Linked DNA regions of Lonchura striata. The protein of the gene in region 2 interacts with the protein of the main gene of each other region in a pairwise test. Links are inferred from orthologs where the notes say so. Each region holds a gene or a part of one and is shown on either strand. Other genes may lie near its edges.

Region 1 (8,157 bases), on a different chromosome or scaffold from region 2:
GATGCTGGAGGTTGGGGCTAAACCTGACTACTCTAAGATGCATAAAACATTTATGCTGCATTCACATTGCTAACAGACAGTGAGAAATAAGAAGTTACAATTCACACCCTGTACAGCTATAAGCCAAATCATGAAGACCATCAAGCATAAACTGAAGCACAGAATTTAAAAAGTAATACGTAAGAAAGGAACCAAGACAGCAAAAGTTTTGATTTCAACTGTTTTCCAAAGAAATTACCACTGCTCTCCTCCAATTTAGTGAGAAGAACAATACTCATATTGAATCACTTCAGTTGCTAAAAGGCCCAAGATCTGAAGAATGCTTCTTTTGCAGGGAAGTGCAGCATTGAATTCAGAGAGATCAGTGGACAAGTGACAAGAACTAAAAAAACAAACCCCAAACAAAATAGAGCATATTTTATTAAGGTAGTGAGCAGAAAGAACCAGTCCTAGGGGAAAAAAAACCAAAACTACTATGGGCACAAAAATATGTATGGCCTGTTACAGTAATCACTCTCCACAGTCGAAACATGGAGTCTGGAGCTTTGATTCTTTCACCAAGGCTTTCCCATTCATTTGGAAGAAACCATGCTTGTAAAAGCCAATGGTTAGCTAATTATGTTCCAGTGCTGACTGGAAAAGAACAGCCATTTCCCACTTCCTAAGCTACAGCAGTAAACCTATATGGCAGATTTAAGCATTCCTACTGGACTGATGATGCAAGGCACTACCAAATGATCCATTTTCATTTTCAGTGTTTTTTAAAAAAAAAAAACAAACAAAAAAAAACAAAAAAACAACCCAAGACCAAATCAAGCAACAGAAACCACACTGACAAACCAAGCCCACCCCTGCCCTGCTAAACACTGTGGCAGCAGCATTCAGCAAGGTGTGCTGCAGTCTGCTCCATTTAAGGAGGACATTCAATACTCACTGACCACTGTTCCATGCACATCCCATCCCTTGCTGCAGTCTAAATAAGGCCTGCTTCAAAGAGTAACACAAATACTTCATAAACACAGATTTTTACATCCACTACTAGGAGCAGATTTTAGTGCCTTTCCCTTTTGTCATATGGAAGCAACAGATTCATATAAGAAATACTCTCTGCTCTCCATTGGACCCCTGAGAGCAGTAGTTTTTGACAGTGAGCATGTGAAACAATTGTTCAACACACACATTTTGCAGGCTTGAATTTCAATTGTAATAGATTTTTATTTCTTGAGACAAGTTTACTAAATCAGAAGCACATATTAGTGATTATCATTGGAAAAGCTTAAAAGAGCAATGTACCCCAGACAAGAAAAGAACTGGATTGTCCAGGATAGCTACAAGACTACTCATTTCTTTCTCTTGTTCCTTACATCACTAACTGGTCACCTCATGGATACCACTACAAAAGAAAAATGGGTTCTCAGCATTCCCTATGCAGCCCTCTCCATACTACATTAATTACATGTCCCTCATCCTGATGTTTTGTGCCTTAATTAAATCACCGCCCTATGTAACAGCCTCCTCTAAATATCTGCAGAACAACAGATAAGGGCCTACACAAATAAACAGAACATACCATCCCAGACTTCAGAACATGGAATACACACATATTTAATGCTCATTTCCAATTGATCCAAGCAGCATTCCATTCTAAATGGATTGTCTCTTCACAAACCTCTGACCCTCCAGTGTTGATGTACTCTCTCAAACACAAGTCCAGTATAGAAAACTTCATATACTCTGGATATGCAAACTCAGTTAAGTGTTAAGGTATAGAAAATGCATACACATAATGGATGTACTGGAGCCCAAGCGCACACACACAAGAACTTGTCTACACCACATTAAGTGCTTTTAGTTAGCCACTGACCTGTCAACACCATGATGAGTGCTAGTTTCAGCAAAAGTTAACCTTTAAAGTTAATGGTCAATTTATCCAGTGAAACAAACAGAATAAAATAAACAAACAAAAAAAGCACTTACTTTACCAGAAACCCCTTGACTGTCCTGTAACCTCCTTTAATCCAGTAATATTCCTAACAGTACTAAACTGCCTCATCATCTTTATTCACTTTTTTTCATTTTCACCAGGTATCATAACTATAAAATATTTCTCTCCATACAATGAGCAGCAAAGAATCCCCACAGCCACCAACCTGTACAGGACCCTGGAGCCGGTTCATCATCCCTCCCCCACACCATTTCAACTTTTCATAGCCTCAGCCAAAAACGCCTGCCTCCTCTCTTATACACAGATTAACCAACTCAGCAGTACGAAAACTCCAGCTTCCCTTTTGCACAAATACCATTCCCCTGATACACACATGTATACATATCCTAACATAATCTTCACCCTGGGTACAAGTTCATTCTTCCCTCCATTTTCAACCATTCCCAAATACCCACCCAAGCCCCCTCACTTTCCTATAGTCCACAGTCATCCTTGAAAATTTACCTACAAGAAGACAGTGTTGATGATCTAATAGAAATTTAGAGTGCCTGATACCTGTCAGAAACATGTAACTACAGTTCTACAGCTCCCCAGCACACACACAGACTTTTCTCCAAAAAGCACTATCATGATCCCAACAGCTAGCATTTGCTACATGTTTTCCCATTTGTATTCCACAAACTAAACAACAAATATCCAGCCTTTCCACTTCATTACACGTGAAACATCAACTCACAGCTCCTCTCAAGTTTCCAGGACACAGACCACGTTGCTCGCTACTCTAGCCCATGTCCACACACCAGACAGAGAGCTCATCGAGCCGGTGACAGCCGGGCATCTCTCTCAGCTCCCAGTGTGAGCAGCAAACAAACCAAAGCACAGCAGTAGGAACACGCATGACTTGCTGTCCACATACCAGCTCATATTACACACTAAGGTCTCGCACATTAAGTCTAACCACACTGGCCACGAAACAAAACAAGTTCAGAACCTTGTAGCAACCTGTTACCACTGTGCCTGTAACTTGTATACAGGCTTCCCTACCACCCAAAGCCTCCCTCCTCCATAGCCTTTAGACGCCTGCCAACTTACCACCTTATTTCTCAAAACACACAGAAGCCCGTTTACCTATTACTCCTATATTCACAGGCCTTCCTGTACCACTACTCCCAAACACGTGTGGTTTCACCCACCACCTGCATCCCCACAGTAAAAACACATCCCTCAACATACCGCAGCACACAAAACGAGAGAGGTACAGATTTTTCTAGCTGCCTCCAAGTGAATTCATCAAAATTACGCCATCCTTCCGAGAGAAGTATTATTGTAGATTATAATAAAAGTATATCCACTGGGTTCGCAGAGCCAGCAAGCTCCAAACTACGACTAAGAACTGCCTTCAACTCCTTCCGCCTAAAGCTGCCAGGCACTGCCCATCTGCCCGTGCTTTCATCCCCAGCCCGTCAGAAGCACCCAGGCCTTGCGGACCTTCTCCCCGACACCGGGGCCGTGCCGCCGCTCCCCCCACCCAGCCCGCCGGTAGCGCGGGCCCGGCCCGGCGCTCCCCAGGGCCCGGCCCATGCACGTGCGCGAGCCCGCCGGCCGCCGGCACACGCCGGACACTCCGGTGCCACCCAGGCGAGGCCGAGCCGCCGGCTCGCCCGCCACAGGGCCGTGCGTGGCCTGGGCCGTGTCAGCGCGGCCCCGGCCCTCCCTTCTCCCGCGGCGGCAGGGAGGCGGCGGCCGGGCCTCGCTGCGCCCGCTCGCTCCCCGGGGGCGCACCCGCCGCACGCCGCGTTCGCCGCGCCCCCCCGGCGCCGCAGCCCCGGCCCGCCCGCTCAGCCCCTTCCCCCGCTTTACCCCGGCCGCTCTACCTGCGTGCCCCGCGTCCCCCGGCACCCGGCGGCGCTGCGGAGCCCGGCGCGGGTGCGGGCGGTGCTGGCTCGGACTCAGGTGCGCGCCGCCCCGCGCAGGCCGCCGCCGGCCGCCGCCGCCGCCCGGTCGCGCACTCGGAGCGCCGCCAGCAGCGCGGACATGTTGGAGCCGCCGTCCCCCCCGCCCGCGTCACCGCGCTCGGAGAGGCGGGCGGGGCCGGGCTCAGCCCGCCCGCCCCGGCCCGCCGCCCATTGGCCGCCGGCCCCGTCGGCACAGCCCTTCCTCACTGTCATTGGCAGATGCGCTCGCCGCTCACGCGCAGGCCCCGCCGAAAAGCTTTCCTCTGATTGGGTCTCCCTCGTCTGCTTTGGTAACTATTGGCTGCAGCTCTCATCAGTCAAGACGACAGCGCACGGACTCCGTCTTTCTCCGCACTTTTTTTTTCCGGCCTCGCAGCCTCGGCAGGACTGACGGAAGCGGCTGTCAGCGAGCGCCCTCGCCCCTCCCAGCCTCCGTCCCGCCGCCCCATCCCCTCCCTCCCGGCGGCACGGTTTGCCTTCAGGCCATTGGCTCCCGGCGCCGCCACTCCCGCGGCCTCTCTCGCCCCGGCCGCCGCTTCGCCAAGGGGGCGCGAACCGACCCGCGGGTGCCTTATCCTGATTGGCCGCTGCCCCTGCCAATCAAGCGCGGCCGGCGGGGCAGCCGAGCGCGGTGCGGCCCGCGCCCCGAGCCGCTCCGCACGGCGATTGGTCGCGGGGCGGGCGAGAGGCGCGCGACCTCCCCCGTGCCCCACGGGGGGCCGTGGGGAGTACCCGTATGTGCGCGCGATTACATCACCGCCAGCCAATCAGGGCGCGCGGGGGCAGGCGTCCCGCCCGAGGGGGCGGGGCCTGGCCGCCCCGGCGGGACCCGCTGCGCCTCGCACGGCGCCGCTCGGGGTGCCGGGGCTGCAAAGAGCGGGGCTGGAGCAGGTTCCTCGCTCCTCTGCCTTCCCCTCTGCCCGCGGGGATCGAGCGCCGTGTCCCGGCTCAGGGGACGGAGGGTCCGCGGTCCCGCTCGTGTGGGTGCCCGAGTGAGGCGTCTCGTGGTCGCCCTTGGTGCCTCCACCGCGCCCTGCTGACACTGGGGCCGGCCGCCTGCAGAGTGCAATCACTGAAGCACAGAATCGATCAGGTTGGAAAAGACTCCTGAGTTCATCGAGTCCACCCCGTGACCGAACACCACCATGTAACTAGACCGTGGCACCGAGTGCCACATCCAGTGTTTCCTTAAACACCTCCAGGGATGGTGACTGCACCATCTCCCTGGGCAGCCTATTCTGATGTCTAACCTCCCTTTCTGCGAAGAAATTCTTCCTGATGCCCAGCCTAAACCTCCCCTGGCAAAGCTACATTCCCAAAATGGCATACCTCTTCCCACACCATAGTTCGCTGATGCCCTTGTCCCCTTCTTTATGCTGAGGTGTTTCCTCCCCACACACTGAATACATCAAAGTGAATGAACACCTGTCACACGCAGAACTTGAGACCACGGCTCAAAACACTGCTCGTAAAGCATTTTTATTTATTCATCTGTTCATTTTCTGGAGTGTTTACAAAGTAAACCGACCTTGAAAAAGTTGGGAGCTTTTCTATCTGGAGTTGAAATTCCCTCCCAGTCTTCCACATAGACACACTATGGGATTATTTTTCCAGGGCCTCCAGAGTTACGTCCACAGTGCAGAAAATGCTGTTCAGCTTTTGCCTCCAAGGTCACGGGCACCACCGCTCACGTTAGGAAATCCTTGCACAGAACTCTGAGGGCGCTTTTTCTCTCAGGTGACTGATGCAGCTACACCTCTAGGAGCAGATGCTTTGCTCTCTGTGGGTTCAAATGCATCTACTCCACACCAAGAAGATGAGCTATTCACCCCTGTGTGCCAGTACTGCTTCCCAAAGCTCCCTGCCAGTTGATAGAGCTGAATGAGAATGAAACCTAGATTGCCTCAGCACAGGCACCCGTGAGCCAGTTCAGAAAGAGCCAGAATGCTGAGGCTGCGGTTACCCTTCTGTCATAGAAAACTTGCTCACAGACAAGCTAATTTGAGAGCCCAGACCCAGCTGCCAATCAACCTAGTTAACTTTGCAGTGTCCACATGATCTGGGACTCAAGATACTTTTATATAGCTAGGGATCTTTTTTCTTTTTTTTTTTTCCCCTTTCCTCAGGCTTATATCTCATAGTCATTTAAATATAATTCATGTATTATTAAAGCAGTGACAAATCTGGCAAAAAAATGCTGTATCTTAGGGTTGATTAATGCAAAATTTATTTAGCCTAGATATTTCTTGGATTTTTGAAACTTTTTATTTCAAGAGATTCACTATTCACTAAGGAATTTTTTAAGAGTTTGGTACTCTTTAAAGTAATCATACATCTTGCACAGATTTCAGCAGGTATGGAACTGGGCTGTAATTTTATCAGGTCCCTGTTTGCATCCTCTACTTTGCTTCTTGGGCACCTGCCAGAGAGATACTCCGGGTATCAATAGATAATTTTGCTCAGTATGTACATTGTATACACAGCTACTACTGACTCTTCCATCCCATTTACTGTAGCAGCCACTCTTCCCCCCAGTGAAAACTAAAACAAAAATCTACAGAAATACTGCAAGAGATCACAGATTAGGCTGACCCTGCCTTTCTCCTTGCTTCTAGCTTTTACAGGGGTTCTCATCCCCTTCCTTTTACCTAATTTCATATATGGCTTTATAACAAATTTAGAAAAAGTTTTCCATATCATCTCACTAGCTGTACAACCTTTACAATTCTTTGGGAAGAGTGGACTTCCCAAAATAATGAATATTACCCTACATTTTCTCTAAAGTAATAAGCGTTATCCCCTACAGCTTTTCAAACATGACCTGCTTAAATGTTAGAGATTAACTGAAAACCTACACTGTGCACACGAGTCCATAACCCAGTGTAAACAGCACATTCCTAATCAGTAGAAAATGTGCGTATCTGGCTGGTTTCTGTGGGCTAAAACTCAACGCTGGCATTGCTCAAGAGGTGTGTGTGGCAAGAAGCAAGCAGCAGTGACAGGCAGCAGGGGTGGGCGGTGAAGTAATAAGTAGGTGAAATAATGGTTTGTATGTGGCAATGTGGAGTTAATGGCTAATCCAGGGATTTTGTGCCATTTCATGGCTGGCTCCACTTAAGCTTCATTTAAGATTACCAAGGCAGGATATTTGTGGGAATATTTGTGTGTTGGATCAACGATGATGTGCATGCCTGAAAGAGTCGGCATTTTTTATTACATGCAATGCCCATTTTACTCTTAGTAGTGATGAAAATAACTGTGAACTACAGAAATGGTAATAAATGGGAAATAGTATGGGACAAAGGTAATTTGCAAACAGCTTTGATACTGCACTAAAGAGGAATGAAGGTGAGTTCTACAGGGTTTTTAAAATTCCGATTTTTAATGTTCTATTGTTATTGGTGAGGCAATTAATCCTTCTAGAAGTTTCTGTTGACAAATCTCAATAATTACATTTGTTTAATGTTCAAATTAATAAACTGTAAATCAAGTCCTACCAAAAAATCAGTACCTTTGGGAAGCTACTTGATCTGGCAGTGTTTTCATGCAATTTTCTCACCTTTTACCTCAGTTTTATAAAAGTTAGCAGGTTATCTGAAGCATGTATACATCTAGTGTTTTAACTGGCCTTCATACTAGTTTGACAAATGGTGACTGCTCTGGTTTCACAAGAAGGCATTCTCAGACACTGACAATATTTATGGTACATGGTTACTTTTTTATCTGCAAAGCAAACAAACTCTTTCGTTTTCAGCTGAGTAAACTTCCCATGGAAACTAATTCACTAAAGAAGGGTAGTTAGTTCTTCACCACTTCCCTGTGTACCCCTTCTAGATTACACCATCTGTGAAGAAAGGAAGGAAATCACCACAGATAATAAGGTCATCTTCACATTAAGAAATGAAGGGGGAAAATTTTGAAAGTTTCATGTAATATTTTGCCTTGGTTTTGCTCAACAAGAGGAAGACTAAATGTTAATACAGCAATGGGGAATAGAAAGAATGCAGGATGGATAGCAAAGAAAAAAGGACAGATACAGACAAAGGCTAAAAGTAATGTTACAGTGTCAAAATGAAATAATTGAAAAGTGGATATACTATTTCCAGTACTTTGGTTAAAAAAAACATGGAGGAATTTTAGAAAACAGTTCAGGACACTGTCCTTGTGATAAAAGAGCACTCAGTTCCTAACCAGAACATGTGGATTAGAGGGAATTTGTGGTTAAGCAAACACAGAAGTAAAAATAATATTGTGTAT
Region 2 (8,574 bases):
GGTCTCCATGGTGGACATGTGACCACCAAACTGGCCACGTCCTCCCCTTGATGACCGCAGCGATGTCCCCTCTGAGGTCCCTGTCCCCTCTGAGGTCCCTGTCCCCTCTGAGGTCCCTGTCCCCTCGGAGCTGGCCACGTCCCCCCCTCGGCCACCCCCGCGTGTCCCTGGGGGTCACCTGGAGGAAGGAGAGGTCCTGGGTGTGGTCGATGAGGACGATCTCCAGGTTGCCCATGACGATCTCGCAGTTGTTGTACATCTTGTGCAGGGTCTGGTACTGGTGCTGCGCGTCGCCCGTCACGCTCAGCCCGTTCAGCGTCCCCGCGCACACTGCGGGCACCACCGCGTCACCGGGGCCACCGCGGCCACCACGGCCACCAGGGTCACCGGGGCCACCGCGGCCACCAGGGCCACCAGGGTCACCGGGGCCACCATGGCCACCAGGGCCACCGGGGCCACCACAGCCACCAGGGCCACAATGGCCACCAGGGTCACCAGGGCCATTGGGGCCACCAGGGCCACCACGGCCACCAGGGCCACTGGGGCCACCAGGGCCACCACGGCCACCAGGGCCACCACAGCCACCAGGGTCACCGGGGCCACCGCGGCCACCAGGGCCATTGGGGCCACCAGGGCCACCACAGCCACCAGGGCCACCAGGGTCACCGGGACCACCATGGCCACCGGGGCCACCAGGGCCACTGGGGCCACCACCATGGCCACCACAGCCACCAGGGTCACCAGGGCCACCAGGATCACCAGGGTCACCAGGGCCACCAGGATCACCAGGGTCACCGGGGCCACCGTGGCCACCATGACCACCAGGGCCACCACGTCACTGGGGCCACCACAGTCACCAGGGTGACCAGGGCCACCAGGGCTACCAGGGCCACCACAGCCACCATGGGCAACGGGGCCACTGGGGCCACCACAGCCACCCCTGCACGGTCACAGCAATGTCCCCTCCCAGCTGGCCATGTCCTGCCCGTGGTGGCCACGGTCGTGGTGGTTGTGTCACCTCCTCATGGCCATGTCATCCCCTTCACGTCCCTTGATGTCCCCAACCCCTCCAAACTGGCCACGGTCCCCATGGTCGCTGTGTCACCTCCTCAGTGGTCACAACGTCCCTTGGATGGTCACTACTCCTGTCCCCTCAGAGCTGGACATGTCCTGCCCGTGGTGGCCCCCGTGGTGGCCCTGTCCCCTCCATGGTCTCCTGGCTATGGCAGTGTCCCCATGGGGGTTCTGTCCTTTCCATGGTGTCCCCTGCAAACGTCCCCACCCCTCCATGGTGTTCCCCTTCAGGGTGTCCCTGTCCCCTCCACCACGTCCTTGTCTCCTCCATGTCCTTGTCCCCTCCACCATGCCCCTGTCTCCTCCATGTCCTTATTCCCTCCATGGTGTCCCTGTCCCTTCCATGGTGTCCCTGTCCCCTCCATGTCACCCAGCCCGCGGTGTCCCTGTCCCCTCCATGTCCCTGTCCCCTCCATGTCCCTGTCCCCTCCGTGTCCCTGTCCCCTCCACGGTGTCCCTGTCCCCTCCATGGTGGCCGTGTCCCCTCCACCACGCCCCTGTCCCCTCCATGTCCTTGTCCCCTCCATGTCCCTGTCCCCTCCATGTCCCTGTCCCTTCCATGGTGTCCCTGTCCCCTCCATGTCCCTGTCCCTTCCACGGTGTCCCTGTCCCCTCCACGGTGTCCCTGTCCCCTCCGTGTCACCCAGCCCGCGGTGTCCCTGTCCCCTCCATGTCCCTGTCCCCTCCATGTCCCTGTCCCCTCCGTGTCACCCAGCCCGCGGTGGCCGTGTCCCCTCCGTGTCACCCAGCCCGCGGTGTCCCCCTCCCCGCCGCTCTCCCCGCCCCGGGTCCTCCCCCGCCGCTCCCTCGCGGTCCCTCCCCGCTCGCGGTGCCCGAACCGGCCGGGCGAGCCTTGCGCAAGGCGGGCGCCTCGGGCACGGCCCCGCCACGCCCGCCCGGACTTCGGCCCCGCCGCCGCCGCCGCCCCGCGGGCCGAGCCCCGCGCCCGCCCCGCTGCGGGGTCCCGGCGGGGGCGGCGGCTCGGGGTCCCCCGGTTGTCGTGCGGGCGCACAGGGCCCCCTTTGTGCGCGGGGCCGGCACCGCACAAAGCCGCGATTGTGGCGGGGGACGCCCCCCAAACCGGGACCCCCGGGGGCACCGAGGGGCGCGGGGCCCCCCCGGATCCGCCAGCCGTGACTCAGGCCGGGGCGCGGGGAGGGGGGGCCGCGGTCAAAGGCGGCTTTGTCCGGCCCGGGACCCCTCCGGGGGCGGCGGCGGAGCTCGGGGCACGCACGGGAAGGGCCCCCCCGGCCCGGCCCGGGCCATTTGAGCAGGGAACGGGGCTATAAAAAGGTCCCAGCTGCGACGGCAGCGGCCCCGGGCCCCGCCGCACCGGGGAGGGGCACGGGGGGAGCCCGGGCCGGGGGGTGCTGCGACCCCCGTGAAACACCGGGGGGGACCGGGGGGGACCCCAAGGTGCCGGGGGGCAGCATCCAGCCCTGTCCGCCGGCTCCTCCGTTAATGACCCACCGACACCTTCAAGGCTCCGAGGGTCCCGCGGGGGGATTTTGGGGGGCCGCGACCCCCGGTTGCACCTGCCCGCGGGGGGGTGGGCGGCGATGGTGGGACCCCCCCGGTTCCCCCCGGGCGCCGCGGCGGCGGCGGGACCGGGCGTTATCAGCGCGGGGCCCCGCCGGCAGCTCCGGCACGTCCCCGCTATCAACCGCGTGCCACCGCGGCCCCCGGCGCCAGGAATAGCACCGGGGGCACCGGGGGGCACCGGGAGGGGCTCGGAGCGACCTCCTGCCCTCGGTCCCGGCGGCGGCACAAAGGGGGCTGTGTGCGTGCCGGGCCCCGAACAAAGGGGGCTCTCAGAGCCGGGGTTTGGGGGGTGCAGAGCTGGGGCCGCTCCCGGGGTGTCCCCGGGGTGTCCCCGGGCCCCCCGAGTGTCCCCGAGCCCCCCGAGTGTCCCCGAGGCTCCCTCTGTCCCCTCGGATCCGGAGCCCGTGGGTGGCACCCGAAGCGTCGCCGGTGGCACATGGAGCGGGGGACACAGCGAGGGGTCCCCCCGGTGTGCCCCCCACCCCCGGGCACCCCCGGGCACCCCCCCCGGGCATCCCCCGGTGTTTCGGGGCGGCGCCGGCCCCACCTGCGCGTCCAGCCCTCGGTGTTTTTCCTTTGGGGATTGAAAAACAACTCCCGGGCGGCCGCGGCCCTTCCGGGGTACCGGGGGTGCGGGGCGGCCTCGCGGGACGGCACCGGGGGGATCCTCCGGGGGTCCCCCGCTGGAAGGATCCCCCCCACCCCCGACCCCCCTCGGGGGTCCCGCCCGGAGCCCAAAAGCATCGCCGGGCTCGGCCCCGCAGCCTAAAATTAGCCCGGGCAGCTGCGGGGCCGCAGGTGTCGAGCCCGGGAGGGGACACCGAGAACGGGAGGGGACACCGAGAACGGGACCGAGCCCGGGAGGGGACACCGAGAACGGGAGGGGACACCGAGAACGGGAGGGGACACCGAGAACGGGACCGAGCCCCGGCAGGGGGCACCGAGAACGGGACCGAGCCCGGGAGGGGACACCGAGCCCGGGAGGGGGCACCGAGAACGGGAGGGGGCACCGAGAACGGGACCGAGCCCGGGAAGGGACACCGAGAACGGGAGGGGACACCGAGAACGGGAGGGGGCACCGAGCCCCGGGAGGGGACACCGAGAACAGGACCGAGCCCCAAAAAGGGGCACCGAGCCCCGGGACCGAATCAGGGAGAGGGCACCGAGAGCGGGACCGAGCCCCGGGAAGGGGCACCGAGTCTAGGACGGATCCCGGGGGCGGCCACCGAGCCAAGGACCGAGTCCCGGAAAGGGGCACCGAGCCCCGGGAGCGGCCACCGAGCCCCAGCCCCGCCGGAGCCGCAGTCCCGGGGAGGTTTCAGCGCCGGTCCCGGTGTCCCCGGAGCCGTGCGGTCCCCCCGGGGGCAGCACCGGGGGATCCCGGGACGCCCCCGCGGCGGAAACAGCCGCGGGAATTACCGGGATTGGAGCGGGGTCCGGTACCGGCGGAGTCGGGACAGCAGCACCGCCGCCACCCCCGAGCGCTCCCGCTCCCGCCGCCCATCCCGGGAGCCCCGAGCGCTCCGGTGCTTCCCCGGTTCCCCTGTGCCCGATCCCACGGCGCAGCCCCGCTGCCCCCGGTGCCGGTGCCGGTGCCGGTGCCGGTGCTCACCTGCCTGCGCGGAGCCGGGCGCGGGGAGCAGCAGCACCGGCAGCAGCAGCGGCAGCAGCGCCCGGTGCCGCTCCCGGTGCGGCTCCATCGCGGGCGCCGGTAGCGGCGGAGCGTGCCCGGGAATGCACCTGGCGCGGGGCCCCGGGGCGGGCGGGGCCGGGCCGGGCCGGGCCGGGGATGGCGGAGGGGGGGAGGACACCCCGCTGCCCCTCCCCGCCCCTCCCGGGACCCGCCCGGGGCGGTGGCACCGGCAGCGGCCGCCCTCACCGGGCCGGGACCGGCCCCGCGCGGCGCCTCCGGCCCGGCCCGGGGCCCTCCGGTCCGGTCAAGTGAAGCCCCCACGCCCCCAGCCCGGTCCCGGTGCCGGTCCCGGTGCAAATTCGCCCTCTACGAGCTCCCGGTGCCCCCGGCCCCGTTCACATCCCCCGGTCCCGGTTCGCCCCCTCCGAGCCCCGGTCCGGTCGCCGGTGCCCCCCCAGCCCCGTTCACACCACCGGTCCCGCCGCGCCCCCGGTCCCAGTCCCGGTACCGGAGCAAATTCGCCCCCTCCGGACTCCCGGTACGCCCCCCAGCGCCGTTCACACCCCCGGTCCCGGTCCCGGTCTCAATTCACCCCTTCCGGACTCCCGGTGCCCCCAGTCCCGTTCACACCCCCGGTCCCGGTCCCGGTTCGCCCCCTCTGGACCCCCGGTCCGGTCGCCGGTGCCCCCAGCCCCGTTCACACGCCCGGTCCCGCCGACCCCCGGTCCCGGTCTCAATTCGCCCCCTCCGTGCCCCCGGCCCCGTTCACATCCCCGGTCCCGGTCCCGGTGTCAATTCGCCCCCTCCGTGCCCCCGGTCCCGTTCACACCCCCGGTCCCGGTCCCGGTGTCAATTCACCCCTTCCGGACTCCCGGTGCCCCCAGTCCCGTTCACATCCCCGGTCCCGGTCCCGGTTCGCCCCCTCTGGACCCCCGGTCCGGTCACCGGTGCCCCCCCAGCCCCGTTCACACGCCCGGTCCCGGTCCCGGAGCAAATTCGCCCCTCCGGACTCCCGGTGCCCCCAGTCCCGGTCCTGGTCCGAGCCCCCGGTCCGGTCGCCGGTGCCCCCAGCCCCGTTCACACTCCCGGTCCCGGTTCCGGTCCCGGTCCCGGTCTCAATTCGCCCCCTCCGTGCCCCCGGCCCCGTTCACACCCCCGGTCCCGGTACCGGAGCAAATTCGCCCCTCCGGACTCCCGGTGCCCCCGGCCCCGTTCAGATCCCCCAGTCCCGGTCCTGGTCCGAGCCCCCGGTCCGGTCGCCGGTGCCCCCAGCCCCGTTCACACGCCCGGTCCCGCCGACCCCCGGTCCCGGTCCCGGTCTCAATTCGCCCCCTCCGTGCCCCCGGTGCCGTTCACACCCCCGGTCCCGGTTCACCCTCTCCATGCCCCCGGTCCGGTCACCGGTGCCCCCCAGCCCCGTTTGTACCCCCCGGTCTCATCGAGACCCCTCCCCAAAAAATCGAACGGGAGGGGGAGGGGAGGTAGGGACCATTGAAGACCCCCCCCAAAACGGGGGCAGGGGTCTGACCCCAAAAATGCCAAAACCGGCGGTTCTGACCCCAAAACCGGGGGGTCTGACCCCAAACACCCCAAAAACGGGGGGTCTGACCCCAAAAAATCCCAAAACCGGGGGGTCTGACCCCAAACACCCCAAAAACGGAGAGGGTCCTGCCCCAAAACCGGGGGGTCTGACCCCAAACACCCCAAAATGGGGGGGGTCTGACCCCAAACACCCCAAAACCGGGGGGTCTGACCCCAAACACCCCAAAAACGGGGGGTCTGGCCCCAAACACCCCAAAATGGGGGAGGTCTGGCCCCAAAAACGGGGGGTCTGACCCCAAACACCCCAAAATGGGGGGGGTCTGGCCCCAAACACCCCAAAATGGGGGAGGTCTGGCCCCAAAAACGGGGGGTCTGGCCCCAAACACCCCCAGGCCACACTGGAGGAACCCGGAGCCCCCCCAAATCCCCAAAACCACGGAGTAAGATCAGAGACCCCCTCAGGACCCCCCAAAACCCCGAGTCCCCCCAAAAATCGAACGGGTTTGGGCAGATCCTGAGACCCCCTCACTCAGGACCCCCCAAAATCCCAAATCCCCCCAAAACACCCTCAGGACCCCCCAAAAATCCCAAATCCCCCCAAAACAAGCGGGCTGGGGGAGATCCTGAGACCCCTCAGGACCCCCCAAAAATCCCAAATCCCCCCCAAAACACCCTCAGGACCCCCCAAAATCCCAAATCCCCCCAAAACGAGCGGGCTGGGGCAGATCCTTTATTGACGCTGCTCTGGGGGTCCCGCGGCTCCGGGGGTCCTCACCGGGGGTCCTCACATGGGTTTTGGGGGGGGGCGGGGGGCGGCTCCCTGCAGAGAGAACCCCAAAATTAGGGGGGCTGGAGGGGGGGGGGGGCACAGACCCATGGGACCCCCCAAAAATCCTTCCAGGAACCCCCAAAACTGTGTGGGACCCCCACCCAGGTACCCCCAGACCCCTCCAGGATCCCCCCCAAACGTCCCCTGGGACCCCCCAAAACCCCCTGAGACCCCTTGGGATCCCCTAAATTGTGTGGGACCCCCAAGGACCCCCCCAAACCCCTTTGGTGCCCCCAAAATCCCCCCAAATGCTCCCTGGGACCCCCTCAAGAACCCTTTAGGACCCCCAAAACCCCCTCCAGGTACCCCCAGACCCCCCCAAACGCCCTCTGGGACCCCCCAAAACCCCTCTGGGATCCCCCCAGGTCCCTTCTCAACACCCCTGGGACCCCCCAAACCCCTTGGGGATCCCCCCCCAAACATCCCTGGGACCTCCAAACCCCTCAGGGACCCCCAAAACCCCTCAGGGACACCCCCAGACCCCGCCAAGCCCCTGGGACCCCTGGGGGACCCCCCCAAACCCCTCCAGGACCCTTCTGAACACCCTTGGGACCCCTCAAACCCCTCGGGGACCCCCCAAAACCCCTCAGGGATGCCCCCAAAGAAGCCTGGGGCACCCCCAAACCGCCCTGGGACCCCCCCAAACCCCTCCAGGACCCTTCCAAACCCATCGGGGACACCCCCAACCCCACAGAGACCCCCCCAAACCCCTTTTGAACACACCTGGGACCCTTCAATCCCCTCAGGGACCCCCCAAACCCCTCATGGACCCCCCAGACCCCTCAGGGACCCTCCCAAACCCCTCAGGGACACCCCCAGACCCCTCGGGGACCCCCCCAAACCCCTCATGGACCCCCCAAACCCTTCATGGACCCCCCCAAACCCCTCATGGACCCCCCCAGACACCTCGGGGACCCCCCCAGACACCTTGAGAACCCCACAAACCTCTAATGGACCCCCCAAACCCGTCAGGGACCCTCCCAAACCCCTCAGGGACCCCCCCAGACCCCTCGGGGACCCTCCCAAACCCCTTAGGGACCCCACAAACCCCTCGGGGACCCCCCAGACCCCTCATAAACCCCCCCAGACCCCTCGGGGACCCCCCAAACCCTTCATGGACCCCCCCAAACCCCTCGGGGACCCCCCAAACCCCTCATGGACCCCCCCAGACCCCTCATGGACCCCCCCAGACCCCTCGGGGACCCTCCCAAACCCCTCATGGACCCCCCCAGACCCCTCATGGACCCCCCCAGACCCCTCGGGGACCCCCCAGACCCCTCATGGACCCCCCCAGACACCTCAAGGACCCCCCAGACCCCTCATGGACCCCCCCAGACCCCTCGGGGACCCCCCAGACTCACGGCGGGGCGGAAGCGGGGCGGGGGGGTCCGGTCCTTGCGGGCCTCGCGGGAGCGGTTGCGAACCACCTTGCTGTGGATGGCGCAGCTGACGCAGTAATGCAGCTTCACGTACAGCTTGGGCAGCACGTAGGCTGGGGAGGGAAAACGGGGTTCAGGGACCCCAAAAACGTAACCAGGGACCCCAAAAACCCCAAAAAACACACCCAGGGACCCCAAAAACCCTAAAAAACACACCCAGGGACCCCAAAAACACCCCCAGTAATGCAGCTTCACGTACAGCTTGGGCAGCACGTAGGCTGGGGAGGGAAAACGGGGTTCAGAGACCCCAAAAACGTAACCAGGGACCCCAAAAACGTAACCAGGGACCCCAAAAATGTAACCAGGGACCCCAAAAACCCCAAAAAACACACCCAGGGACCCCAAAAATGTAACCAGGAATCACAAAAACCCCAAAAACACACCCAGGGACCCCAAAAACACCCCCAGTAATGCAGCTTCATGTACAGCTTGGGCAGCACGTAGGCTGGGGGGGGAAAACGGGGTTCAGGGACCCCAAAAACGTAACCAGGGACCCCAAAAATGTAACCAGGGAT

The links.
Region 1: the proteins of ERBB3 (region 2) and PPM1B interact in a two-hybrid assay, tested with the Homo sapiens proteins (2 studies listed by BioGRID and IntAct, with this or other methods). The link is inferred for Lonchura striata from reciprocal best matches to the Homo sapiens genes ERBB3 and PPM1B.

What each region holds. Positions count from the first base shown.
Region 1 is NC_134605.1:15,527,138-15,535,294, reverse strand, and holds the start of PPM1B (protein phosphatase 1B), read right to left. Parts: upstream 3,919-8,157; 5' UTR 3,820-3,918; intron 1-3,819.
Region 2 is NC_134629.1:9,399,761-9,408,334, reverse strand, and holds the start of ERBB3 (receptor tyrosine-protein kinase erbB-3), read right to left. Parts: upstream 4,336-8,574; 5' UTR 4,317-4,335; coding exon 4,229-4,316; intron 331-4,228; coding exon 179-330; intron 1-178. Other genes in the region: RPS26 (small ribosomal subunit protein eS26), read right to left, coding at 6,576-6,611, 7,982-8,112. UniProt on the Homo sapiens protein: Tyrosine-protein kinase that plays an essential role as cell surface receptor for neuregulins.